Mus musculus: one gene and its partners. The protein of the gene in region 3 purifies or fractionates together with the protein of the main gene of each other region. This does not show direct contact. Links are inferred from orthologs where the notes say so. Each region holds a gene or a part of one and is shown on either strand. Other genes may lie near its edges.

What was found.
Region 1: the proteins of Cops5 (region 3) and Asb6 purify together in Homo sapiens (affinity purification with mass spectrometry; 3 studies listed by BioGRID and IntAct, with this or other methods). This does not show direct contact. The link is inferred for Mus musculus from reciprocal best matches to the Homo sapiens genes COPS5 and ASB6.
Region 2: the proteins of Cops5 (region 3) and Cul5 purify together in Homo sapiens (affinity purification with western blotting; 6 studies listed by BioGRID and IntAct, with this or other methods). This does not show direct contact. The link is inferred for Mus musculus from reciprocal best matches to the Homo sapiens genes COPS5 and CUL5.
Region 4: the proteins of Cops5 (region 3) and Klhl42 purify together in Homo sapiens (affinity purification with mass spectrometry; 3 studies listed by BioGRID and IntAct, with this or other methods). This does not show direct contact. The link is inferred for Mus musculus from reciprocal best matches to the Homo sapiens genes COPS5 and KLHL42.
Region 5: the proteins of Cops5 (region 3) and Txn1 purify together in Homo sapiens (affinity purification with western blotting; 3 studies listed by BioGRID and IntAct, with this or other methods). This does not show direct contact. The link is inferred for Mus musculus from reciprocal best matches to the Homo sapiens genes COPS5 and TXN.
Region 6: the proteins of Cops5 (region 3) and Ddb2 purify together in Homo sapiens (affinity purification with mass spectrometry; 10 studies listed by BioGRID and IntAct, counting the BioPlex papers as one, with this or other methods). This does not show direct contact. The link is inferred for Mus musculus from reciprocal best matches to the Homo sapiens genes COPS5 and DDB2.
Region 7: the proteins of Cops5 (region 3) and Dcaf1 purify together in Homo sapiens (affinity purification with mass spectrometry; 8 studies listed by BioGRID and IntAct, with this or other methods). This does not show direct contact. The link is inferred for Mus musculus from reciprocal best matches to the Homo sapiens genes COPS5 and DCAF1.

Annotation. Positions count from the first base shown.
Region 1 is NC_000068.7:30,822,597-30,825,300, forward strand, and holds the end of Asb6 (ankyrin repeat and SOCS box protein 6), read right to left. Parts: intron 2,132-2,704; coding exon 2,045-2,131; intron 1,909-2,044; coding exon 1,244-1,908; 3' UTR 501-1,243; downstream 1-500. Other genes in the region: Ntmt1 (N-terminal Xaa-Pro-Lys N-methyltransferase 1), read left to right, coding at 1-22. UniProt on the Homo sapiens protein: Probable substrate-recognition component of a SCF-like ECS (Elongin-Cullin-SOCS-box protein) E3 ubiquitin-protein ligase complex which mediates the ubiquitination and subsequent proteasomal degradation of target proteins.
Region 2 is NC_000075.6:53,657,508-53,661,007, forward strand, and holds part of Cul5 (cullin-5), read right to left. Parts: intron 1,174-3,500; coding exon 1,064-1,173; intron 679-1,063; exon of another isoform or gene 451-678; intron 1-450. UniProt on the Homo sapiens protein: Core component of multiple cullin-5-RING E3 ubiquitin-protein ligase complexes (ECS complexes, also named CRL5 complexes), which mediate the ubiquitination and subsequent proteasomal degradation of target proteins.
Region 3 is NC_000067.6:10,035,339-10,039,323, forward strand, and holds the start of Cops5 (COP9 signalosome complex subunit 5), read right to left. Parts: upstream 2,801-3,985; 5' UTR 2,673-2,800; coding exon of another isoform or gene 2,581-2,672; 5' UTR 2,475-2,580; coding exon 2,332-2,474; exon of another isoform or gene 2,324-2,331; intron 1-2,323. Other genes in the region: Cspp1 (centrosome and spindle pole associated protein 1), read left to right, coding at 2,801-3,006. UniProt on the Homo sapiens protein: Probable protease subunit of the COP9 signalosome complex (CSN), a complex involved in various cellular and developmental processes.
Region 4 is NC_000072.6:147,101,075-147,104,574, reverse strand, and holds part of Klhl42 (kelch-like protein 42), read right to left. Parts: intron 3,010-3,500; coding exon 2,816-3,009; intron 1-2,815. UniProt on the Homo sapiens protein: Substrate-specific adapter of a BCR (BTB-CUL3-RBX1) E3 ubiquitin-protein ligase complex required for mitotic progression and cytokinesis. The BCR(KLHL42) E3 ubiquitin ligase complex mediates the ubiquitination and subsequent degradation of KATNA1.
Region 5 is NC_000070.6:57,953,612-57,957,871, forward strand, and holds the start of Txn1 (thioredoxin), read right to left. Parts: upstream 2,801-4,260; 5' UTR 2,600-2,800; coding exon 2,576-2,599; intron 1-2,575. UniProt on the Homo sapiens protein: Participates in various redox reactions through the reversible oxidation of its active center dithiol to a disulfide and catalyzes dithiol-disulfide exchange reactions.
Region 6 is NC_000068.7:91,216,567-91,220,066, forward strand, and holds part of Ddb2 (DNA damage-binding protein 2), read right to left. Parts: intron 2,324-3,500; coding exon 2,178-2,323; intron 841-2,177; coding exon 741-840; intron 665-740; coding exon 487-664; intron 243-486; coding exon 100-242; intron 1-99.
Region 7 is NC_000075.6:106,873,924-106,877,423, reverse strand, and holds part of Dcaf1 (DDB1- and CUL4-associated factor 1), read right to left. Parts: intron 3,369-3,500; coding exon 3,116-3,368; intron 1,136-3,115; exon of another isoform or gene 1,019-1,135; intron 1-1,018. UniProt on the Homo sapiens protein: Acts both as a substrate recognition component of E3 ubiquitin-protein ligase complexes and as an atypical serine/threonine-protein kinase, playing key roles in various processes such as cell cycle, telomerase regulation and histone modification.

The DNA of each region.
Region 1 (2,704 bases), on a different chromosome or scaffold from region 3:
CTACAGCTTTGCCCTGAGATGAAGCCAGGGCCAGAGCTGGGGGCCAGCAGCTGGCAGGCCAAGAGACACACCATTGACTCCAGTGGGAAGGGTCAAGCCCTAGGGGAGGTGTGCCCTGGATTGGGGCACTGCAGCCCTGTCACTCTAAAGCACCCTGGCAACTTCCCACAGGGCTATGGAAAGCAGAGTTGGTCACCGCTGGTCTAGCTGCCTGAGGGGAAAGACTTCACTTGGTTGCCTAGGGACCTCAATGTGTGGACTGCTGTGTTCCAGGACAGCCAGGCCACACATGGTACCTGCCAGACAGTACCAATTACAGAAATGGTCACAGCCCCATATCCTCTTTGGTGATGGGTCACAGCAGCCTGCAGCTCCTAGGAGCTCCTCTCTGACACAGCCAATAAAAGGGTGAGTCCTATTCTCAGATGCCCCAGGCAGTCTGTGTGTGGATGTATGTCAGATCGCTTGAGCGTGCCAAATTGTCATACAAAGACACAGAGTTTAATCTTATAAATATATTTAATCATCTCTGCTCATTCCCAAAAGCCAAGCTGACTGCGAAGATCTCGTGAGGGCTTGGCACTAGAGTGGAGCCAGCTTCAGGCCTCAGCAGTGTCTTCTGGGCCCCTCATAAATCCTGCTGTGCTCGTGATGCCTTTAAACAGAAGGCACCAGCCCCGAGACCTGGGTGTGGCATGAGCAGAGCTACCACCAACCACAGTGCCAGAGCCCTGACCACCACAGGACTGGGCAGGCCTCTAACCCAGAAGACCAGCCTGTGGCCGCCTCAGTTCTGTCCCCAGCTCCTCAAAGGCATCATGAGACCCGAGGCGGCAGAATGAATGGGTAGGGCCTTACTGAATGGCCCAGGATTTTTGGCACTGGTCCTGGGAAACCCCAGGCATGTGCCTCCGCCATGGGACGAACCACAGCTGCCAGGGCTCTGAGGGGCCTGGGCCTCATTCCCTGTGCACAGCCTGGTCAGCTCCTAATACAGAGGGCAGCTGTATCCCATCTGCACTGGCCCCTCCCATTGTGAAACACTGAGAGGGAGGGGGCGGGGATCTCCCTGGAGCAGCCTTCCATGCCTTTGGCCTCCAGGGCACCACCCTAGTGGTTTCATAGCAGTAAAGGGCAGGCCTTTCCCAGATAAAAGGGACCCCTCCCCCAAAGGCCATTATAGGTGCCAGGTCTATCCTCAGGCTGGTTTCAGGTACCCCAGATCATTCCACCCTGGGACTTGTCAGCAAGTGTCTTGGGTATCACTGTGTGCACTGAGCAGGTACCACTTGAGCCTGTCGGGCAAGGGCAGTGCTTTGACCTTGGTGTCCACAGGCCACGGTCGCAGGCACAGCCGGATGGACACCCGGCACAGGTGTTTGAGAGGTGGCGGGTAGCTCTCGAGCTGCCTCAGGGAGGCATGAAGGGCCTGGATCTTCCCTGCCAGGCTACCCACTGGGTGGATGTTGAGGTTCTCAGGCAGCTGCAGCCTCTGGGAGCTGGTCACCATGAGGTCCAGCACGGTCTCAGCCTTATGCAGAAGCTCAATGTGGCTGTCGTCCTCGGCACAGCCCGGGTGCGAGCAGAGCCTCTCAAAAACGAGGTTGAAGCCAGACCAACAGGATGCACCGTGCAGGGAGCAGTTGTAGGCGGCTCCGGACTCCAGCAGGAAGCAGAGGAGCGGGAAGTGCAGCTTGAAGCTCTTGAGGCAGATGTGCGTGAGGGACTCATGGGCCGGGCACTCGCTGGGGTCGGCACCGTGGGCCAGCAAGAGCTGCGTGACTTGGAAGCAGAAGCGGTTGATCATCGGGGCCTCCTCCTTGTCCCCACAGACAGTCTCACCGAGCAGGAAGATGATGCAGGTGAATACAGTGTCCCCATCCTTGGTGGTGGCCTTGACGTCTGCCCCTGAAGAGCCATGGGAACAGAAATGAGAGGTGACCAGCAGCCCTTACCAGACAATGGTGTAGATGTGTGTGTGTGTGTGTTGGGGGGGGGGGGTGAGGAGCAGCAGCCACAGCTATGGACAGACAGGGAACCTCACCTCCCTCCAGGAGGAGCCGGATGTTTTCTGTGTTGTGGATCTGCACACCATCGCTGCTGGCCAGGGCGTGAAGTAAAGCTGTCTTCCCTACAAAGAGGAGGGAGGTGAGGCCCAGAGGAGGGTGGAAGCAGGATTCTCAGGCCGAGGGAAGAGCGGCTGGCTTGATTTCATCCACACAAAAACAGGAATAAGAGGGCCAAGCAAGGTTAAGACCCGCCTGCATCCACACACAGACGCTGGGTATACTCACCTCTTAAAGATGCTTCCTGGGGCAGTGTGCAGACAGTGACCACACTCTCTCCAGAGTCGCTGGGTGCTGGACTCAGGCAAATTGCCACCCTCTGCCCGTATGCCAGGTGTGGCCATGCCATCGACTGGGGCCAGCACCCAGGCACTTGGCCTGTCTTTTCTGAACCCTTAACAGGTGTCCAGCCCCAGGGATGGCCAGCCCTCCACCCCAGCACTTAAGTTTTATTATTTTATGTATGAGTGCTTTGCCTGCATGATGTATGTTTGTGTGCGCTATGAGGTCTCGAGATCCCCTGACACTACATTTACAGACAGTTGTGAGCTGCCCTGTGGGTGCTGGGAACTGAGCCGGATCCTCTGCAAGATCAGCAGTGCTCTTTTTTTAAGATTTTTTAAGACACACCAGAAGAG
Region 2 (3,500 bases), on a different chromosome or scaffold from region 3:
GCCACATGGAGGCTGACATACTCTTCTGGTTTCTAAAGGAACCAGGAATGCACACTGTGTACTTGTACATATGCAGGCAAAACACTCATACATATTAAATTAAATTAACTGTTCACATAGAAACTGAAGGAGAAAACCATCTCATTTGGCTTCTAAGGTGAACTTTGTGATTAATAGGGTTGTTAAAACTTGCTACACTGCCTCCTAGGGACTTCTAACAATAACTGTTCTCTAGACATTTGGCCAAGGGCTAAGCAGTAACAAAGCAGACCTGAGATTCAATTCCTTAAAAAAAAAAAAAAAATCTGTTTGTAAGGTTAGCCTTAGACTGAAATCTGAGAACTGACAGGTTCCCACATCTATATAAAACCTTCCTGAAATGATAACACTGGTTCAGTTTATCTAAACTGATAACACAAACATCCTGATTTTTACTGAATTTATACTTACTCTTCCTAGGAATCCAGAATTTGAATGACTATATAGCCACTTTCATTAACTCTTGATAACATATCACATGTTTTCAATCTTCCTGCTGAAGAAATTAAATGTCCCAAGGCTGGAGAGATGTCTCAGCAGTTAAGAGCACTTGTTATTTTTGCAGAGGACCCGAGGTCATTTCCTAGCACCCACATGGTGGCTCACTAACTCCATTTCCATGGGATCCAACACTTTCTTCTGTCCTCCACCAGTACCAAGAACACATATATTACATAGACATATAAGCAAGCAAAATACTCATACACATAAAATGAGATAAACTAATCTAAGAAAAAGAACGTAATGTCCCAGGTGAATCCCCTGGAAAAGGACCTTTGGAAATCTGTGCTTAATCTCCCCCTTACATCTTCCAATTTCAACCCATATGTCTTTTCGCTGTATGTTCAGGCTTATAAGGTCACCTAGCACGTCAAGGAACCTAGACTCTACTCTGTCTTGGGAATCTCCAACACAACTAAGTAACAATATACAGGTTTTCCTATCACTTAAACTCATACTGTCCATCCAGTATGGAAAGCCACCAAAACCCACTGTTAACAAACAGAATTACTGGATTACTTACGAAAATAGATCAAACCACTGCTGTTTTGTTACAGATTCCTGGCGTAAAAGCTTCAAAACAATTGGATGCATGAAGTCCCACTTGTCTTCAAACTGGAGAGAACCTTTATTCTTAAAAACAAAAGAGATAAAATATGGCTTGTTTTAAATCAATTAAATACAAAAGTTTCACATACTTTTATCTAAAAATATCTCTTAAAAGATGCCTGAGACTGGGCGTGGTGGCGCATGCCTTTAATCCCAGCATTTGGGAGGCAGAGGCAGGCGGATTTCTGAGTTCGAGGCCAGACAAAGTGAGTTCCAGGACAGCCAGGGTTATAGAGAAACCCTGTCTCGAAAACCAAAAAAAAAAAGAGCCCAGAAAAATAGAGAGATCAAATTTAAAACAAATACCTTTCCAAAACAAGAGTTCTTATAGGGTTAATCTTATAGCAGGGAATCAAAGATAACTATAAACACAAATCAGGGCTGATTTATAGGTCAGAATTATAGGCTGTGCGTGAGTCCCAGGGGTCAATCCTAGGAGAAGGGGGAAGAAACAGACAGCAATACTAAGATTAAAGTGGAATGCACAGGGAAGAATTTGTTATAAAGAGTGTGGCCTTCCCTCTTGGTTCCTTCCGGCAGATAATCCATGGTCAATGGGAATGTGTACCTAAAATGAACCTTAGCTAACAAATGTAGTTTTGGTAGGGGACTGGCAGGGTCAACATGGTCTCAAAAGTGGGGCTGGCCAATTTAAAAGATTAACAATGTAATTTAAAGAAGGGCTTTGTGTCAATGTAGAGTTCAAAGTACTCATGGACATAAACATTCTCGTCTTTGTGAAGAAATTCCACACAAATTGGACAGGAAGAAAGTTAGATTAGCTTCCTTAGGCATAATTTGTGTATATTGTCATACACTGACCACGGGAAGGATAACAGAAACTACACTCGGGACCTCCTAGACTCCGTCCTATACTTCTCTCTCTTAAGCTGATCTTGAACTGAATGTTGCAGCTACATAACAAATAACAGTAATTATGCCAGCTTGCAGTAAAGCCTGAGTCTTTCTGGTGTTGAAAATGAATGGGTATCTTACAGAGAGACTTAATCCTCTAATTCTGAAGCTGTACTCAACTCTTCCCACTGTAAAGCTGTCAGCTGCAGAGAGAGCGCAGCATTTAACAGCACTTACTACTCTTGCAAAGAACTGGGTCTAGACGCTAGCATTGGTGGTAACTCAACTCTCTGCAACTCCACTTCTAAGGGATCTGACTCCTTCTTCAGACTTCAGGGACCCCCATCATGCACATATTACACATACATGCATGTAAAATATTTATGTCCATGGATGATGTGTTTTTAAAAATGGGAGGGAGGGAGGCTGGGTGTGGTGGCTGAACTTGGAAACAGAAACAGATAAATGTCTGTGAGTTCAAGGCCAGCCTGATCCACATAGTGAGTTCTAGGACAAGCTATAGCTACAAAGACCCAGTTCAAAGAAACAAAATAAAACATTATAAACCCACAAAAGCCCACCAGGCAGTGGTGCCACTCACCTTTAATCCTGCTGTTTTGTTTTGTTTTGACCAAGACAGGGTTTCTCTGTATATCTCTGACTGTCCTGAACTCATTCTGTAGACCAGGATGGCCTCAAACTCAGAGAGTCATTTACCTCCCAAGTGCTGGGTTTAAAGGTATAGGCCATCACCACCCAGCTTACTTCTAATTCTTAATATATCATGTTATATAAATAATTACCAAGTGACAAGGAAAATATCTGTATACATTTAAAAGTCTAAATTTTTTTAAGTACTTAAAAAAAGTACTTTGACCCACAGTTGGTTGAAATCAATGCCAAAAGAAAAGATTTCATCTTACAATGCTAATAAAATCTTGACATCAAATTTGAGAGCAGCATAAGACACAAAGGAAACATATACAAAGATTTAAATGAGCACTATCAAATAAGTATATGAAAACACTAGTTCATCCTAACCATTTTGTCCTATGAATAGTATCTTATTAGGAGGAAAAAACAAATTAATTAGTCAGGTACTAGACAGAAAGAGGGAACAACCTCATTTGCACCAGTCAAGAGCTTAGCTCCTATTCAGGCTAAATGTATTTATACAACTTGTTCTGGCCAATAAATTTCATTCATTTCTTTTCTTTTTTGACTCCTCCCCCTCCCATTCATTTTCTAGTAAAGTAGCACTATTTTATGAAACTCATGATTTGTTTCTATATAGCTTACTTTTTACAGTTCTACCTATTTACTTTACATCTTCCTATGCAGGTGCATTTGGAGGTCAGAGAACAATTCCTGAATGTAGGCTCTCTTCTACCGTGAGAGTTGCAGAGAACTGAGCTCAAGTTCTCAGGCCTGGCAGCAAGAGCTTTAGTAGCTGGTCTGACCTGCCAGACCACACAAGTGTTTTTAAGGATACTGCT
Region 3 (3,985 bases):
CACAGTCACAGCTCAGCCCCTTGGGTAAAATAAAGAGTCTGGGATAAACTTTAATATACTGCTGAGGTGAGGGAGTAATGATCAAGTCCACAGGCCTTTTTTCTCAATCATCATGGAATTATTATACTTGATTACCTTCTTAGGCCTAGCTTTCTGACCTTAATTTACTGAGTTATTAATTAAGTAATTTATTTATTTATTATCTGTGGTACATGTTTATTAGTGTGCCACCAGATGGCATGTGGAGATGACAGGGACTGTCAGGGGTCTTTCTCTACCTTTTGTTTTGTTTTGTTTTAAGACTGCGTTTTTCTGTATAACCTGGCTGTCCAGTAGTCCAGGCTGACCTTGGAACTTGATCACCCACCTCTGCTGAGATTAAATGTGGGTGTCACCATGCCCAGCTCATTTTCCTCTATTTTATTACTTCATCCCCTTGAGACAGAGAGAGCCTCTTACTGAAAGCTCACTGTTTTGGCTGACTGACCAGCTTACAGACTTCCTTTTCTCTGCCATCCTTCAATACAATGCTAAAAGGTTACACACACACATATCCACACATGGATTTTTACAATAGATGCTGGGGATTTGAACTCAGGTCTGCATGCTTGATAGCAAGTATTATTACCTACAGAGCCAGAGGATTTAATTTCTACAATGTTTGCCTCTGAAATTGCCCTGCTTAGGTCTAAAATCTTACACTGACACTCCCTACCTGAGAGAGTAGGGCCACTTAATGTCTATGTCACATATCTATAAATAGGTATGTCACCTATTAGTATGAAAAGTACACAGTAAGTGCTTAGTCCCACAGACACTAAAACCTAAGGTACTGTTATCAGCCTTATTAACCTGTTTTAAGATATTCTCAAAAAAAGTGTGTTAGCTTGTGGCTTCCTTCTGATAGCATCTTGAGAGTGATCTAGTATCTTTACTTCTTTGACTAACCATTGTATGTGATTAAACTCTTGAACAACAGTTTAAAATCCCTGACATACCCTACATGTTAGGATAGCCATAGATGGTGAAGAAGTCTTGAGTTTACATCCACCTAAATCACGCAGCTTGCTTTAGAAACAGCTAAGTAATCTGTGTGGGGCACTCAGCGTTGCCATGGCCCACTGGATGCATGCAACCAAATATAGCTTTTGTTAGATTTCAACCACAAGCTCAAAGTTACTGAGACCATCTTGGAAATCAAGATATAAATTAAAAAACTGGCTTTTCCATCTACTTGGGAAAAAGATAAAAACAACCATTACTATGCTCTCATTACATATGGCTCATCCAGAACTTCTTAATAAATTACCTTATCTCATCTTCATGACATCATTAATAGCTACGTTTAACCTTTATCTTATAGATAAGTTTAGATACTTTAGTTTCCTAATGCCAGTCAACAGTCTAAATGACAGTTATTGAGACCTGATTTTCAGTCTATTGAACCTAAGCTCATTGCTATAGTATGACCATGAGGTGTGTTTCTGAATGTATTTGCTTATTTTTCTATTTACAGAAAGGGAAAGAATCCTGGATTGTCAAGATTATTAAAAGACACGAAAATCTTCAGGCCAGTGCCAGGCCCACAGTAAGAACTCAATAAACACTGAAAACAGAGTACTGACGGTTAAAGCCAGCTGTGCCATCAGAACAAAACACCTGGAGACAGCAAGACAGTCTACTCAGCAACCTTTTGTAATTTTTTTCTTCACTCTCCTTAATACAATTTGCTCTAAAGAATCATTTGACTTGTCGTCAATCCCAAAGATACATGGATTTGGCTGGGGAAAATGCTTCTAAGCTCTCTCTTATAATTCCTGGTTTACATGAATTGTAGTAGTATTGTAGGGAACTGCTAAGAGGATTTGGTATGTGTCTAAAGAGCTGAAAAAAAACCAAACCAATCAATCCAAGAGCTCATGGATTTTTTTTTTTTTTTTAAATCAATGCTCTGCTCATTCGATTTATAAAAACAGCCACGCTCTTCAGTTTGGGAATCTACTGAAGGCTGCAACTAACTGCATGTAGCCACCAGGTTCAAGGCAGAGTGTGTGAGATTTACAAAAATAATCATGTTGACAAAAGTCGCACCCCAAGTCAGCCCTTTACACGCCCTGAAGGCAAGAAACTTTCTAAAAGGGGAATCGAAGCAGGCCCTAGAGGACAGGTAAGGCTCTACTGACAAGGCAGACTAAGGCCACTGTGGCCAATATTCGGTCGACGCCCCACAGAAAGCCAAGCTCACCACACCCTTCATCTCCCACCCCTCGCGGGTCTCTCACAGTCCCGCCATCCCTGCCCTCCCCTGCGTCTCGCCAGGGACCTCCTCACTCCTTAGTCCAGGGTTTCGCCGCCAGGATTTCTTGTTGTTGTTTTTTGTCATATTTGTAGATTTCATCGATACTCTGCGCTTCCTGCATGTTGTTGGCCAATTCCCAGGTTTTCTGGGCCATACCACTCCCGGAAGCTGCCATGGCCGAGGCACCGGAGAAGCTGTCGCTCCACAATCAAGATGCAACTTTCTTCTACTGGGCCTCAGCGTGCGGGCTTTGGACCTTCCCCACCAGGGTGCACACTCACTAGACTCTCAAGGCAGCCATGACACTTGAGACCGGAGGTGACGTTGGTCCAGACCATTCGCGCGCTGGGGCGCGGCGGCGGCGCAGCGACATAGAAAACACTTCCTTAGGGTTGGCTCGGCTCGGCTCGGCTAAGATCAGTCTTGCCGGTGAAACGAGAACATGCTGGCTCGGAAATCCGTTCGTGTGAACTGCGAGGGACGCAAAGCCTCGGTGTGGGAATGGTACAGCCTTTCGCGCCGGAAGGCGGGACTATTGGCCTGCCAGGAAGGAGTCGGCCGGCTCGGCTCGTACTGCGCAGACTCAGATGCCACCATATTGTGTGTAGGAGGAAACTTGAGTTTGGGGAATTATGTTTATGTGAGTGTAGGTGCTTCAAACGAAATAAATTGTTTGGAATACTAAATATCTCTAGAGAAACAGAGGTGTAAGTATCTCCGGATTATTGGTTTTGGAGGGGGAAGATCGCGTGACTCTTTTAAGATAATTTGCGGTGTGTTAAGCCTCCGGGGTTTGTGGTTGGCGTTCCGCTTTTGTGTTTTCGCTACTGTTGCGAGGTGGCAAGCAAAAGTTACCGGTTGCTAAGATTAACTTTTTTAGGGACTTTATAGGGTAACATTTTATACAAGTGTTAGGAGCGGTGAATGCCTTAGGCGCTACTTTTTAAAAAAGGTTTGTCTCAGTGCAGATTTAATCTCCGCAACCTGTGCCTTCCAGCAGTTAATGTGAAATTTGTTTCAGTCGTATTTTTAGGTTTTCTTCCCTCACATTCTCATCCCCAATTGCCCACTAGACTGTAAGTTGAAGGCATGCATGAAATTTGTGTTTTATTTAATTCTAATATATTTAATTTTTTTCGTAACACGGTTCTTAAAGACTTCTCCAGCTTCATCATCTTCTTTTAGCTCCCCCAACCCAGTTTTTCATTCTATTAGAACTTTTTTCCTTGGCTTAGTAATATATTAGTTGTTAGGCATTGCTTGAAATGCACTTCTTGACATTTCTGCTTTAGAGCACACAGATTTTAAAAAGCACAGCTCGGAGATGCCTTTCCTTAACTCTTCGTCAGTAACTGCTCCTTCACAGGAATTCGAAGGCTCTGTAGCTGCTTCACCTGGACCCCGGGGTTTTTGCAGTTCTGGAACTATGTAGTCCAGGCTGGCCTCAAACTCGAGAGCTGCCTGCTTGAGTGCTGGGATTCAAGGCGTGCACCACTACTGCCCGTCTGTATCCTCTTCTAATGCAGGTGCTTTTGCCTGGGCTGCAGGAGACCCTGTTTCAAAAAGTCAAGGAGCTGGGCAAACAAAACAGAGCAAGGACATTGCAACATTCTTCTAATTCCAGTACTTGGGAGGTGGAGAATGGAGAATCAAGAGTTCCAACCCCGCTTTCTCCCTGGACTATTG
Region 4 (3,500 bases), on a different chromosome or scaffold from region 3:
GTCATGAACCATTATTTACTGAATTTTTAAAAAATCTCATCTAAGAAGTCAACAGGATGGGAATCCAACTCAAGTCCTGGTTTCTCCTCCTCCTCCTCTTCCTCCTCCTCCTCCTCCTCCTCTTCTTCTTCCTCTTCTTCTTCCTCCTCCTCTTCTTCCTCCTCCTCCTCTTCTTCTTCTTTTGTTTGTTTTTTTGTTTTTGTCTGTTTGTTTTCCCCCAAACAATTGGGAAGAGCTGTTTATAATGGGAACTACAGGAACTATCAGGAAGTGCTGGAAAATCCAGGCTAGAGGAGGGTTAGAGAGGCCAGCCAGTGCCCAGCCCTCTCAGCTTAGAACACAAACACCCATCCAGTCCACCTCTGACCGCACAGAATGGTCTCTGGCATGGAGAATCCGGGATGGACATCATCCTGGGTGGCCCAAGTGAAGAAGGCACGCTAGTGGTGGCCATGAAGCTCAAAACACACAAGAAGGGTTTTCCAGGTCAAATCTACAACCCATTTGCTGAGCCAAGGTCATGGAAGAGCCAGGAAATCTACCAGAAGAACAGTGCTCCCAGCAGGAGCCAGCAGCTCCTGTGTGGAAGAGAAGCCGGGGCACAAGCGTGTGTCATGTCAACCAGAGTGTATTCTGAATAGCTCGCCGAGACACGGTGGTGGCTCATGCATAGAATCCTAGCACCTGGAGGCTCAGACAAGGGGACTGAGCTACAGAGTTCTACACCATAGACTGCGCTAGGGTAAGACCTGGCTTCAAAACACAAACCATGTTGCGTGAAAGAAAGAAGAAATGTCCGTAGGTAAACAATCTAGCTAGTTACTTTCCTAGAAAAACAGAAGCAAGGATGTAGGATTCAGGAGTGTCAGCTGCCGTGCATTGCTGTGAACTTAATCGATGCTGTACTGAGCCCCAGTGCAAATGGTGCAAAGCACTAGCAAAGACAAATTATCTTGATTCCTAGTGGGGGCCACTGGGAAGTGACAGCATCTGAGGAAGAAAATAGTCCATGGCTTCCATCACACTCCTCCCTCGCTGCTGCCTCTTCTCAGAGGCACAATTACATAGGCCAGCTGCAGAGAGTAGAGCCCGCACCCCACTCCCAAAGCAGGTCCAATCCACAACCTCAGCTCACCAGAGAGAGCTCATTTGAAAACAGATCTGTGGCTGTAAACACGCTAAACAGAATGGATCTGGGATTGTGCCGGGGCCTAGCAAACACAGAAGTGGATGCTCACAGTCAGCTATTGGATGGGTCACAGGGCCCCCAATGGAGGAGCTAGAGAACATATCCAAGGAGCTAAAGGGATCTGCAACCCTATAGGTGGAACAACAATATGAACTACCCAGTACCCCCCAGAGCTTGTGTCTCTAGCTGCATATGTATCAAAAGATGGCCTAGTCGGCCATCACTGGAAAGAGAGGCCCAATGGACATGCAAACTTTATATGCCCCAGTACAGGGGAACGCCAGGGCCAAAAGATAGGAGTGGGTGGGTAGGGGAGTAGGGGGTAGGGTATGGGGGACTTTTGGGATAGCATTGGAAATGTAAATGAGGAAAATACCTAATAAAAAATATATTTAAAAAATGGATCTGGATCACAAACCCAACTGCCAGCATCCGTATTAGAGGTAGAGACTTACAGGAGAAGCCACATGAAGACAGCAGACATGCATGAGGAAGCCACCAGAAAGAGAGTGAAGAGGTGAGGAAGACGCCCTGCTGAGAGCTTTCTCTCCCTTCCTCTTGCTCTACCATCTCCCAGGCTGGCCTTAAAGTATTGGTCCCACTTCCTGTACCTCCCCAGTGCTAGCATCACATGAGTGCATAGTCACACCCAGTTATGGGCCACCTATCTGAATACTTTATTGGTGTCTGACATTTACACAGTTGCCTGTGTTCACTTGTAGACCCAGAGTCTCCCTCATGCAGTGATCAGCAGGGCTAGCGAGCTCTGTCTGCCCCTGCATGCCAAACATACAAGCAACTCCAAGAGTCCAGTTATTCCTCTCCTTCAGCTACGGGCTCTGCACACCAGACACACCAAACACAGATGTAAATGCCCTTAGCTAACAGACCACTTGGTGGCAGCCTCCTCAAGGGAGGCAAAGACAAAGGACAGGGCTCTTCCCTGCACCCAGAAACACCCCCTCACGTAGCTATGATGTTCTCTACCCTGATGCCTGGGATCTCTCTGCTACACACAGCAGCACTGAACCTGGGCACTGTCTCTTTTCCACACTACTCCTATAAAATGTCCATCACACAGATGTGTACATGCAAACAGTAGAACACTCTGCACAGGTGTAACCATCTGGTCTAAAAAGTTCTTTTGTGCTCACACCCTATCACCTCCATGGGACATAGAAACGGGCCCCCAGAACTGGCCTTCTGGGTATCTATCTAGTAAAGCAAAAGCCAGACTTAGCTCTGGCTTGGCACTGGTGGGTGGGTTTAACTCTTGGGGAGAGAAGAGAACTCAGTTTACCCTTTTTTCCCAAGCTGTGACCCAAACCTCCAAAATGGGCAGGTTCCAGGTACTGACCATAAGGCTGGGTTTCTAGAAGCACAACGAACATTCATAATCTTCTATAATTCCCTCTTCCATGTGAACAATGTCCATGCTCAAATAAGGTCATCAAAGGTCCTTCCTGCCTAATCCATCCTGCCTCGGGGCTCACATCTTTAAGAAAAGGCGAGTATATAGCATCTGATGCATAAAATCTCACTCAGATACATAGCTTCTTCTAGCCAGTCCTGACCCAGCCAGGTTGCTGCAGCTTATGCAAAAGCAGTTGACTGCCACTCACTCACCTCGGGTGGTATATCCGCCAATGACGTAAATCTTCCCCTTGCACTCGCAGGCAGAGAACTCAGCCAGAGGGTTTGGCAGGGGAGCCACAAAATTCCACGCATCTTGCTCGGGATTGTAGCATTCCACGTTAGAAACAGCCTGCCCACCGATGGCGTAAAGCTTTGAATTGACAGCCACAAGTTTGAAGTTAGATCTGAAAGGAAGACGCAGACCAAAAGGTCAGTTCTGGCCTTGACATGGGAGGACACTCTCTGGTAGAAGGTGTCCTGAAGTTTTCCAGTCAGAGCCATTCTGCCTGGTGACTGCAGAGGTGACTTCTCAAATGTTACTCTGGTACCCAGGACTCCACACTCTGCAGGGCAGGAATGGGAATCCACAGATACAAGCAACTCCAAACAGGCGGCTCTTGGTGACAAGGACCAATCTTGCTTGTGGGCCTGAGGCCAGGATCAGGATACCTGCCTCACTGAACTCAGTCTTCCGCATCTGAAGATGCCATGCCTGCATCCAGCCAGCAGCTTCAGACCCAAATGTAAATGACATATTGCATCTGTCTTGGACATGTGCAGACATCCATCCCCCTTAGACGAGATTGCAATAACTACCTAAAGAGCACATGCGTTCTGTTCTGTTACATGCAATTCGAGATGCATTAAAATGCAGCTTGATGCTGAAGTGATGTGC
Region 5 (4,260 bases), on a different chromosome or scaffold from region 3:
TTCTATCTCACATTTTTTTTTCTTTCAAGGAAAACAATCACATGTCATTTCTGAGAACACTACAGAATGGCTACGACAGCTTCCAGAGACGTCTAGTCAGACTTGCCCATCAAATCCATGTCTGGGTGTGAAGAGCGGGCAGAGCAATGGAAACCACTGTTCCCAACCACCACTGGTTGTTGCAGATAATTCTCTTACAAAATCTCCCCTTATGTAATTATCAGAGGCCACAGCACCTATTCTTTATTGTAAGACACAGGTCAAGGTGGTATGGCAGGCTGCTCTGATGACACCCACATCTGGACCACGATTGATCCTCAATAAGAAAAGAGTCATTCCAGAGCCAGAGCTGCCAGAAACACGCCCTGCGACGCAGGAGGAGGAGTCTCTAGGGAGCGGCCTGGACCTTGCTCCTTAGCAGTCACCTGGGGTACCGATCCAAATCCGAGGGTCCTTAGCTGGGACCTGAGTCCCAGTTGATGAGATTACATGACAAAACAGGGCAAACTGCATCTCAAACACTCTCAAGGTTTACCCCCAAAAGCTATGAGGCAAAACCAAGCAACACTACTCAAAATACTGAAAATGCGGCTCACAATCCTAATTTCGGGCTTCAGTGAACACCAATTACAGAGGCAGGGATGTGCAAACTTGCAAAACAAGTTTTCTTCTGCCGATCTGTATTGGCTTGAAGAGTATTCAAAATTATCTACTAAGAAGCACATCACAATTTTTAGCTCTAGAAACCAATAACCACAATTGGCAAGTGTCGCCAGTACTGACACCAATAACCTGGAGACAAAACAACACACCCGGAGTAGACCGGAGCAGATGCTATCATCTCTTTTCTCAAACATACCCAATTCAGGGGCTGGCAAGATGGCTCAGCACATTAAAGTGCCTGCCACCAAGACCAACGAACTGAGTTCAATACCCACGACCCACAAGGTAGAAGTGAGCCAACTCTCTCAAGTTGTCCTCTGACCACTGCCAATGGATGCCCCACCCCTATATGTGAATATAAACCGAAACAGAAAGCCCCAACAACAAAACCATATTCAGCAAATAACAAAGTGTTCTTTGCTTTTTTTTTGAGACAGCCCAGCCTCCTGAGCGCTGGGGATTAGAGGCATGAGCCAACGCCTTGGTCTAACACGTGGTCTGTGAAGCACTGAGCAAAGTGTGTGTGTAGTTCAAGGAATAATTTTATTCTTAAAGATAAACACGGCAAATCAACTGTTGATTTCTGAGCCATTATATCATAGCCTATTATTCCACTCCTGTGTGGAGATTGACCCCAGGGGCCTTTAACTACCCACACAGTCGTCAGAAATAAGGCTACATTTTACATAGTTTAATTAATCAACTTAAGCCCATCACATGAAATTTATGTGTATTCAGTTTAACTTCTGATTCTGGGCGACTCCGATCAGAGCCTTGGTAGCAGGCTTTTGGGGCCCAAGCTTTTTCCGAGTAACTGGTTTCCTGGCACCAATGTACACCGCTCCTATTGGAATGGCAAAGGTTCCATAAGTAGGTCAGTTTAAACAGATAAGGATCCAACTGGGTGCTGGGACTAATATGGCTGGTAGTGGGTGAGCCAACTTTTGTACTGAGACCCAACCAGGTGCTCAAAACTGGAGGGCGCGGACCTGTCTTCCACGGATTTCCTAGTTTAAGGGTGAGCCAGTCTTTCACACATCAATTTCCACCCCCAACCTCCTTTCACTTTTCATTTTATAAATATTCCCCGAATAGTTACAGTGTAACAGGCTCTGGGTTTCCCAATCTGGAGGATATTTTGGTTCTCAGTAACTTTCGAATATGGTAACAGTTTTTCCCTTGGGTATTATTTTTCTTTTCCCAAAGGGCAGGACTTTGTACTTGACTACTCCCTGGGGGAGAGCCCTGGTTCCAGCAAAGCCCACTTATGGAGGGTCAATCACTGAAACCTTAAGGTTGCGAGGCCCCGGGGCCAGACTTTGGGGACTGAGTCATTCCAAAGCCAGAGCTGCCGGAAACACGCCCTGCGACGCAGGAGGAGGAGTCTCTCGGGCGCGGCCTGGACCTTTCTCCTTAGTAGTCACCTGGGGTACCGATCCGAGGGTACTTAACTGGGACCCGAGACCCACCCTCATGCACCGACCTGGCCTGTGTCCTCTAGGCGGCAGGTCACTGATGGAGGGAAACTAAGGCCGAGCCCAGCAGTACAACACACCCGCGCGGCGTGTGGCACCGCGTACTCGAGAAGTGGCGGCTCTCCATCTTTTCCTAGAGATCCTAAATCCTGATTCAGTTGGGGCACGGGAAGGGGGGAGTGTCACAGGAGGACCCCGGTCCATCTCTTCACCTCCGCCAGATTTGGGCTGGCGGTAGGGAGTGCAGCTCCGGGGACTCAGGTGCTGCCCACGAGTGCATCTCCCGTACCCGGCGTTCCAGGGTCCCCTCGTCCCCTCCCCCAGGGCATGCTCCACCGCCGAGGGCGCACACAGGCCCTGGGCCGCTAAGCCCGCGGGGACACCGAGAGTGTCCTCTTCAGCACCGCGGGATGTGCGCGGCGCCCGGGCATGCGTACCTTGCTCTCGATCAGCTTCACCATTTTGGCTGTTGCGGGGAGGGAGCCACACGCGTCTCAGCAGAACCAGATGGAAATGGATCCAAGGCGCCCAACGGAGCTTGCAACCGAGTGCGGCGCCCGCCTTCTCTTTATAGAAATAGGGCGGAGCGCAGCAGGGCGGGGCGGACGGGCACGCGCGGCGGGGACGCGCTTCCCGCCTCCCGCGTCCGCCAAGGCGCCTGGGCAGGCCGCGCCTAGACCACGCCCCCAAGAGGTGGGGCGGTTTTCCAGGGGGCGGAGCCAGAGTCGGCTACTAGTGCAGCCTGGGGACTGTCCTAGCGCTGGCCTCACTCCTGGCTTCCCCGCCCCACTCTAAGCTGCCGAACAAGAACCTTAGTTTATAAGGGGCGGAGCTAGCACAGGCTCCTGGAGCAGCTTCGGGTTTTTCCAGGCTCCAGACGCCGCGCGGCAGCTACCCCTAAGAGCCAACTTCCAGCTGCCTCAAGGGCACTTTAACAGCGAACAGCGCCGGGGTAGATCACGGTCCTCTCTCACACCGTAGAGTCCTTCTGTAATCACACTGCCCATGCCCCAAACTAGACCTAAGTCAGATACTTCCAGATTGGGGCTGGGGACAGTCCCTAGGACTGCCCAGGCAGAGGTGTATCCTTAGACTAGGGCGGCCATGCTGCAGTTCGACTCAAAGTGCTGAGTAACGATGACCAGGAAGTGTCTCAGTGCGCGTCCTCGCCAACTTTCTGGGTAGTTCTTTGCCGCTTCTTTCTCCTCTCTCTCTCCTATTCCTTAACTTTAACAGGTGAACCTGCTACTGGGAGAGGCACAGAGCCGTTTAGAGCCCTGTTCTGTGCCCCATGCACATGTAGGCATGATAGAGATCGGATAGTCTAGCTCCCAGCATTGTCTTGAAGGATTTAAGGGCTTGAAAACTGACTGAGGACAGCGTTTGGCCCATAAGGAAGCACTCAATGAATTATTCTAATTATAGTCATCGCGAGCGCTAATTAAGCTTGCGTGGTGCCTTGTGGGGCCTTGCTGAGTTTGGCTGCCTTGTATTTACAATGACAGTATAGGCTTTGAGGAGATTTTTCCGCCTTGGGAGAGGACGCCAGGAAGAGTCTTCTTCAATGATAACTGAGGTGATGTTCAGGAGGACAGGGCATGGTGGAAGAAGCTAAGATTCTTAAGGTGGCTTTGTGCAGCCCCAAGAGTGCCGCTGTATGTTCTGGTGAAGCAGCTGAGGTGGAGACTGGACAGAGCCAGCATCCTGGGAGGAACTCACCAAGCCTGCATTTGGAGAGCCGATCTAGATAAATCTACATCGAGGTGAAGCACGGGAGGCTAATGAAACTGTGTCTCAGCCACCCTACCCCTACCCACTGGCTTCCCTTGTTCAAAACATTTAAAATACCAGAACCAGTTGTGCGATGTTTTTGAAGGGCTGAGGAATTCAAGTAATGAGTGAGGATGTAGACAAGAGGGAGTGTTCTGAACATAGCCCTAGACTGCGGGTGGATGCTGCCCCAAAGGCAGTAGCCTTCCCTTTAGGACAGCTGAGGCAGAGAGGAACCCCAGGCAGATGAGCAGAATCTATTAATTCTCTTTGCAGCTGTCGGGTCTTTTCAGTCCAGCTACATTCCAGGTTTCTGGCTTTTTGGTAGTCAAACACTGACCTGTAGAACTTG
Region 6 (3,500 bases), on a different chromosome or scaffold from region 3:
GTTATTCTGAGATTGTAGGCTGTGTATGTGACCCTTCCCCCAACATGGAAAGATCTGTCCCCTTCCCATAATGACAGATCCCTTTCTCTTGTCACTCACCTTGATGGGTGTGAGGTGCTGAAAATGGCGGTGAGGGTGGGAGATCAGATTCAGGGGGCTATCCCACTGGGAGGCAGAGTAAACCCGAATCTCATTGTTCTGGTCAGTAGTCAGGAGCCGAGCTCCATCTGGGCTAAAACAAGCTGACAAAGTGAAAAGCCCTTAAGCTGAAGGAAGCCTCAGCCCCTGGTATCCTGATCTTCCAAAATACCTTTCCTTTCTAGGTAGGGGAGGAGAGATCAATCTGAACTATGAACAAAACTACCATGGCAACTCCACTGCCAAAGGAGCGGTCGGAGCCAGAAAGGGTCCTACACACCATTGACCTGATGGCTGGTGGTGAGAAAGACAGGGCACATAAGGAAGATGGGGTTTGGGATGTCACACCTGCATTGACAGGATGCCTGTGAGGCAGTGAGTAGAGGAAGCTGTCTTTCCCTTTAATTTGGCGCAGGTCCCAAATCTTCACTGTTTGATCTATGGAGGCTGTGGCCAGAAGCCAATCACAGCAGGGATTCAGGGCCACGTGGGCTACTTTCTTCTTGTGCATTCGGAGGTTCCAAAGCTACAGAGAAAAGTTTGGTTCAGGTGTTGAACCAAAGAGGGGTGAGGGGATGGGGCGTGGGCCACACAGTACCCACCTCCTTGCCATCTGTGCTCAACAGGATCACATGTCCCATATTGTCTCCTGTAACCACCACTCTGCTCTTGGCAGAAACATCAAGGCTGCAAAACCAGACCCTAGAGGGAGAGAGTGTGCTGTAAGACCCTTCGAGACTGAGATAGTCTGTTTAGTCACTGTGACAACTCCAGTATCAAGTATTTGTTGAATCAGTGAGTAACTGTCTTACTATAAATTTCCAGTGGAGGGTTTTCAGCCTTGTTTACCTTGCAGAAAAGGGCTGTGAAAGAGTACAGAAAGAGTTGACAGAACTCAGAAATGTGTCCAGTTATTGCTGAGCCCAGAATCCTCAGCTAGTTCCTGGAACCTCAGAGCAAGAATACAAATTACAAGGCTAGCTTGCTCCCCACAGCCCAGGAATGAAGAGTTTTATTTACTATTCCCACTCATCACTCCTCAGTCTTTGCACCAAAGGAGAGGGCAAAGCAAACAGGAACTGTTCAGCGGAGCTCCTCGAAGCTGGCTAGACGTGAACATCTGTCCCCTTCTGAGCATTTAGGGAAAAAAAAAAAAAATCAAAGACTACCAGAACCTTTTTACTCTCGAAAACTATGTGAGAAAAAAGAGACTCAAGAAGCAGGTATTTCATGGATGCTGATTCGAAGCCAAGAGAACTCCAAGTCCATCTAGTCCCCTCTCCTGATGTTGTTCTCAACCTTATGGGACAGCCCAGAATAATAACCAAGCTGCTTAGACTCACTGCACACACCCACATATCATCCTTAGCAAAACTGTGTCTCTGGCTAGACATCAAAGTGGCCTGCATGTGTAATTTCTCCAGCCACTTATTCTTAGGAGGATTCTTCCACCTGTTAACACTGCCACCAAGGAGACAGCAAGGCCATTACATCCCGGAAAATGGAGGGCAATAACATTGCACTTCTTTTTTTTTCTTTCCTGCCCCCCTTTTTTCTTTCTTTTCTTAAGATAGGCCCTCACTATGTAGTTCTAGACGGACCCAGCTGACTTAGAGCTCATAGTGATCCACAAGCCTCTGCCTCCCAAGTGCTGCCATTAAAGGTAAATACCACCACACGTGGCTAAACTTGTCCTTGATTCCTGCTCTACTCTGTAAATACCTTTCCAAGCAAAATACCATGTTGATTTATCCTGTGAAAGTAAAGGTCTAATTTAATACAGCTATAACTTACAGAAGTAATTAAGCCCTTCCATCAAAGACAAGAGCTAAGGATCCAGAATGCCTTCCTAGTGTAACGACCCACTCAGGTCAAAGTCAGAGCCACCAGAATCTAAGGAGGAAAAGGAATGGTGCAAAGTGGCTAAGATCCCTGTCTTCCCTGTGCTGGGCCAAAGTGACAGAAACAGAACTGGGTATGTTCTCAGCAAACTGCATCTAGAGCTTAGAAGCCATTTCCCTTACAAGTTAACTACTCACTTGCAAGAGTTTGAGCTGGTATAAACTCTGAGAATGTTGCCTTTAAAATCCTGCAGCCTGGTTGTTCCCTCCATTGAGGAGGCAAAAAACTGGTTGGTATTGAGATGGTTAAACTTCAGCCCAGTGATGCTTCCTCCAGCTCCAATCTAACATAAGGAAGGAAAAAGCCAGTGAGTAATGATGGGCCAGAAGTGCGGGGCCGGGTCTGGGCACCCAGACAGCACCGAGGCAGCAACACCAAGGCCAGCTTAGATACCTCACATTAGAATATCTGTTTTTAAGGCTTTATTTTGACTTTTATATTGTCGATTAAGAGGTAGTAAATATGACTGGTTCTGGTACACGGCTCTTCGAATTTCAACACACACAAATATCTGAATAGCCTAGCCACCCCCAAAATTAAGATGCAAACATTGACTTCATAAAAACTCCCTCATGCTGCCCTACTTTATCACATTTCTGGCTTACATTCTCACGTTCAAACCTTGGAAACCGCAGCATGCTCTTGTTATAAGAGCTTCAGCTCAAAAAAAAGCGATGTTTGGTGGACAGGGAACTATCTGTATTCTTTCCTGTCCTTCCAGACATTTTAAGCAGTGATGACACAACTGAGCCTGGAGGTCTAGGAAGTGTAAGAACACTTGCCTAGTATGCACAAGGCCCTGGGTTTGACCCCCAACTACACACATCCTCCCCACCCCCTACAAATTAGAAAAGTGGGGAGTAACACCTATGGCTTAACATTTATTAAGAGGCTAGAGAGATGGCTTCATGGTGAAGAGCACCTACTGCTGTTTGGAGTTCAGTTCCTAGCATCTACATAAGATGGCTCAAACTGCATATAACTCCAACTCCAGGGCATCCAATACCCTCTTCTGGCCTCCTGTACACAAGGCATACATGCATGTATACACACATACACACACATACACACACACACACACACACACACACATACACACACATACACACACAAACACACAAATAAATAAATAACCAACCAACCAACCAACCAAGCCAGGAATAGGAGCACACACCATTAGCCAGCAGTTGAGAGGCAGAACAGATCTCCGATTTCAAGGCCTACTTGGTCTACATAGTGAGTTTCAGGACTATATATAGTTCCAGGGCTAATAGACTGTCTCAAATAAAGTAACAAATACAGTAAGAGCTAAAGCCAGGCAGTGATGTACATGCCTTTAATCCCAGCATTGAGTAGAAAGAGACAGGTAGATTTCTGTTTGTTTGAGGCCAGCCTGTTCTACAAAGCTGGTTCCAGGTGAGCCAGAGCTGTTATACAGAGAAACCCTGTTTTGAAAGGAG
Region 7 (3,500 bases), on a different chromosome or scaffold from region 3:
TGTAAATGAGGGGTCAGTACAATCAGTCTGCTCCACTGACAGTCATGAGGGATAGCAACATCCACAAAGGACAGACCAGAAAACACAGGGAAGAGCACTAAAAGACAACCTGTAGGTGACAGCTGTGTCTCCACCTCAGAGTGCAAGCAGAAATGTTCAAATGTCATGTATTTTATGTCAGTGTTTACACCCAGGTTATAGTAACAATATTCTTGTAACTTAAAAGAGTTTTCCAAATTACCTTTGCTTTAAGAGAGTTAATTTTTAGAATTTAAGCAAAATTCTGAAAAGAGGGTATACTGTTACCAAATACAAATTGAGAGGGTTTATATTCAAATTAGGAATGGAAAACCTGAAGCTGGGTGTGGTGGCACATGCCTGTAATCCTAGCACTCAGAAAGTGAAGACAGAAGGGTTGGGGAACTTGAGGCCAACCTGGGTCATGAAGCAAAATATGTTAGGCAGCCAGGGCAAACTCAGGATCTGAGAGGACCACGCTGCCCTGTATAATGGAGCAAATCCAAGCACTGTTGGCCGAGCCCTTGTTGGTCACCTGTGTCATAAATAGCTGAGGGCAATGAACCATATGGCCACTGCTGCCCAGGAGTCCCCCTCAAAGAGGCGCTTACATGTCAACTGTCTGCCACAGTAAGACCCAATGTAGAACTTAGAAATATGTTTCATGACCAAAATGTATCATCCCAATGCAAGCAACCTAGGATTAGCTAAAGTATGTGGAAGGCAAGTAGTCCCCAGCACTAGGAATGTGCTATGAAAAGAGCCAAGTCCAAGCCCTAGAAAAAGTTGGAGCACGGATCAGGCTCCTTGCCGTGAGTAACAACAGTTCAACCCCCTCTCATGACCATGTGGGTGTGTCCCTGCTGTTCTGCCAAGACTCCTTCCATTTTTCTTTGTATTTAATGGGTACAGGCTTAGAAACATTACAGAATAAAAAAGCCCAGATATCTTCGCTCCTCTGGTGATTAAATGCACATTAGCACATCTATGTCTCATTTACTGTTGTAAGGCATGAGCAGAAGCTGGAAGTGTCATCTGGATTGTTGGGACACCGTCACTGGTAGCGAGCGGCTCTCTGCTCTCATTCACTGCCCCATCATGGAATAAGTACACAGCCCTGTGAATGAAGGCAGTTGTCAGGGTTAGAGTAGGGGGAAGGAAGGTTTCTCTCTTTTATCTTTGATGGGGAAGTAGTTTTATTTTCATTGTCTAGATTACCCCCTCCCCTTTTCATGGAGACCTCACTGTACTGGTTAAAAGCATGAGCTCGGGTCTTCTGAACTCTGTCTAGCCACTTCTCACTCTAAGTAGGCTTGGGGAGGAAAAGGCCCAACCAAACCAAAATGGAACACCCAATGACAGTACTGCCACCCTGTTATACTCTAACTTTGTTGGGTCTCTCCTTCAAAAGGAGCTTTTGACTAGTCTTGTCTATCTGGAAACTTCTTTAAATCTTGGGTTTTGGTAAAGTATTTTTAATTTCAAAACAAAAAAAGCAACTCAAGTGACACTCCTACAAGTGCAGGTGGCTCCAGCCACCTGCTGTAGACTGAGCCCACCTAACTAACCTGCATTACTAACCTGTTGAAGGGAGGTAAAATTTTGTCTCTAACACCTCACTATTAAAGTTTTATTTAAAATGTCCCTGGGTCCTTATCTAGCTCTCAGAGGTCATGGCCAGGGGTTAACCCACAGAATCATCTCAACCTTTGAATATGATACACCACAGCTAGGTGGGTATAAGCAACCCCACTCTCACCAAGACCTTCTTCAAATATGATAAGAGGACTTAATCAACTGTCAGTCCCAACTCGATAAGCACATAGTGATATTTGTCCGAAAGAAAATGAACTTACATCAGGTAGAGGAGCAGTATTGTGTGCGCACAGTACATGTAATAGAAGTTTCTATATTAAGCACACTGCCACCCACCTCTCCTACCAGGAAGCATGATCATAAACAGGAGGCTGGCTGATAGAGCACCATTAAGTTTGCTTGACCTAGGCCACCAAAATACAACTTTGCCATGATATAAAATGATATAAATGTATGTGTTCTTACTGCTCAGCACGATAGCAACATATGCTACAGAGCAATTGGAAATGAAAAGCTAATTTTTAATTTAATTATATTTCAACAGCCCTCCGTGCTACGTGGCTGCTATTATCAGACACAGCACCTACCATGCCTGTAAGGACGCTGGGTATATATATATATATATATACCAGCTAAGTGAGACAGGAATCACTCTTCACTCAGGCAGGGCAGCGATCAGTATAAGACTCAGGACCGCAGCCAGAACTGCCAACAGTGGCACGCTCGTGGCAACAGAGACATGTCAAGAGTACAATGTTTGCCCAGTCTTAAAGCTGATTATTTGGGAATTCATAACAATGATAGGAATGGCTTCAGAAACCCACCAGTGGGAAATTACTATACAAACTGGAGTTTGTTCTTTAGAGTTCTGAACAAGAAGTGGGGTAGGGTGAAATGAACAAGACAGATGCATTGGTTCCTCAACCTTCAGGAGAGACTGGTCAAAAGCAGCCAGGAGAGGCTCTCCCACACAAGGCCCTTAATCTATACACAGCGGCCACGGAGGCAAAGGAGCCTGTGAAGAGCTGCTTCAAACTGACCTCAGCCAGACCCTCAGGTGACAGCCATGCTTCCACCTTTCTAAGTCCAATACTTTAAAGCTGGAATTCAAAAACTATAAGCTCACTACCTATTTTGTAAATAAGTTTTATTGCAACACAGCTCTAAATATCACTTCATGTTTGGCCTGTGACTGCCTTCTCCTCACTACAGGGGATCTGAGGCTGTGACAGGGCCCACACGACCCAGGAAGCAAAGAAGCACTGCCTTTGTTCTGACAGAAAAGTGTGCAAACCTTCGCTTATGAGTTAAGAGGAGGAGCCACCTGATGGCTATAGAGTCTGACGGGAGAAGAGGCTGACTAATGTCTCAGGGCTTTTCCTCAGGGGCCAGAGTGGAGAGGCAGCAGAACTCAAGCCCAGCTGTCTTCTGGAATGGGTTGGGACAGCAGAAGGACCTGGCCTGGGTGCAGCGGCTCGCCCAGACTCTGCCCTGTACTTACTGTCCCCCAGGATCAGCTCCACCTCCTCATCTGCATCAGAGTCTTCATCTTCCCCCTCCTCTCCCTCCTCTAGAAGGTTTGCTAGCTCCTCATCAGAGGGAGAGAAGTCATTGTCTCCATCCTCTCCTGCATTCTCATTGTTGTCATCCTCCTCCAGTTCTGCCTCCAGCAACTGGTCAGTGTCTAGTTCATCTAAATCATCAGTATCATCATCATCTTCATCATCATCTTCTTCCTCCTGTTCTTCCTCTTCCTGGTGAGAGAGCATGAAGTCCATTAGGAGAAACACAAAGCCGTAATCTGAACGGGCCATATGGTGATTGACTCCTATCAATCAAGGGGACAGAGTAATAAACTGTTAGTAGACAGACTTGTCAGGAGTGAT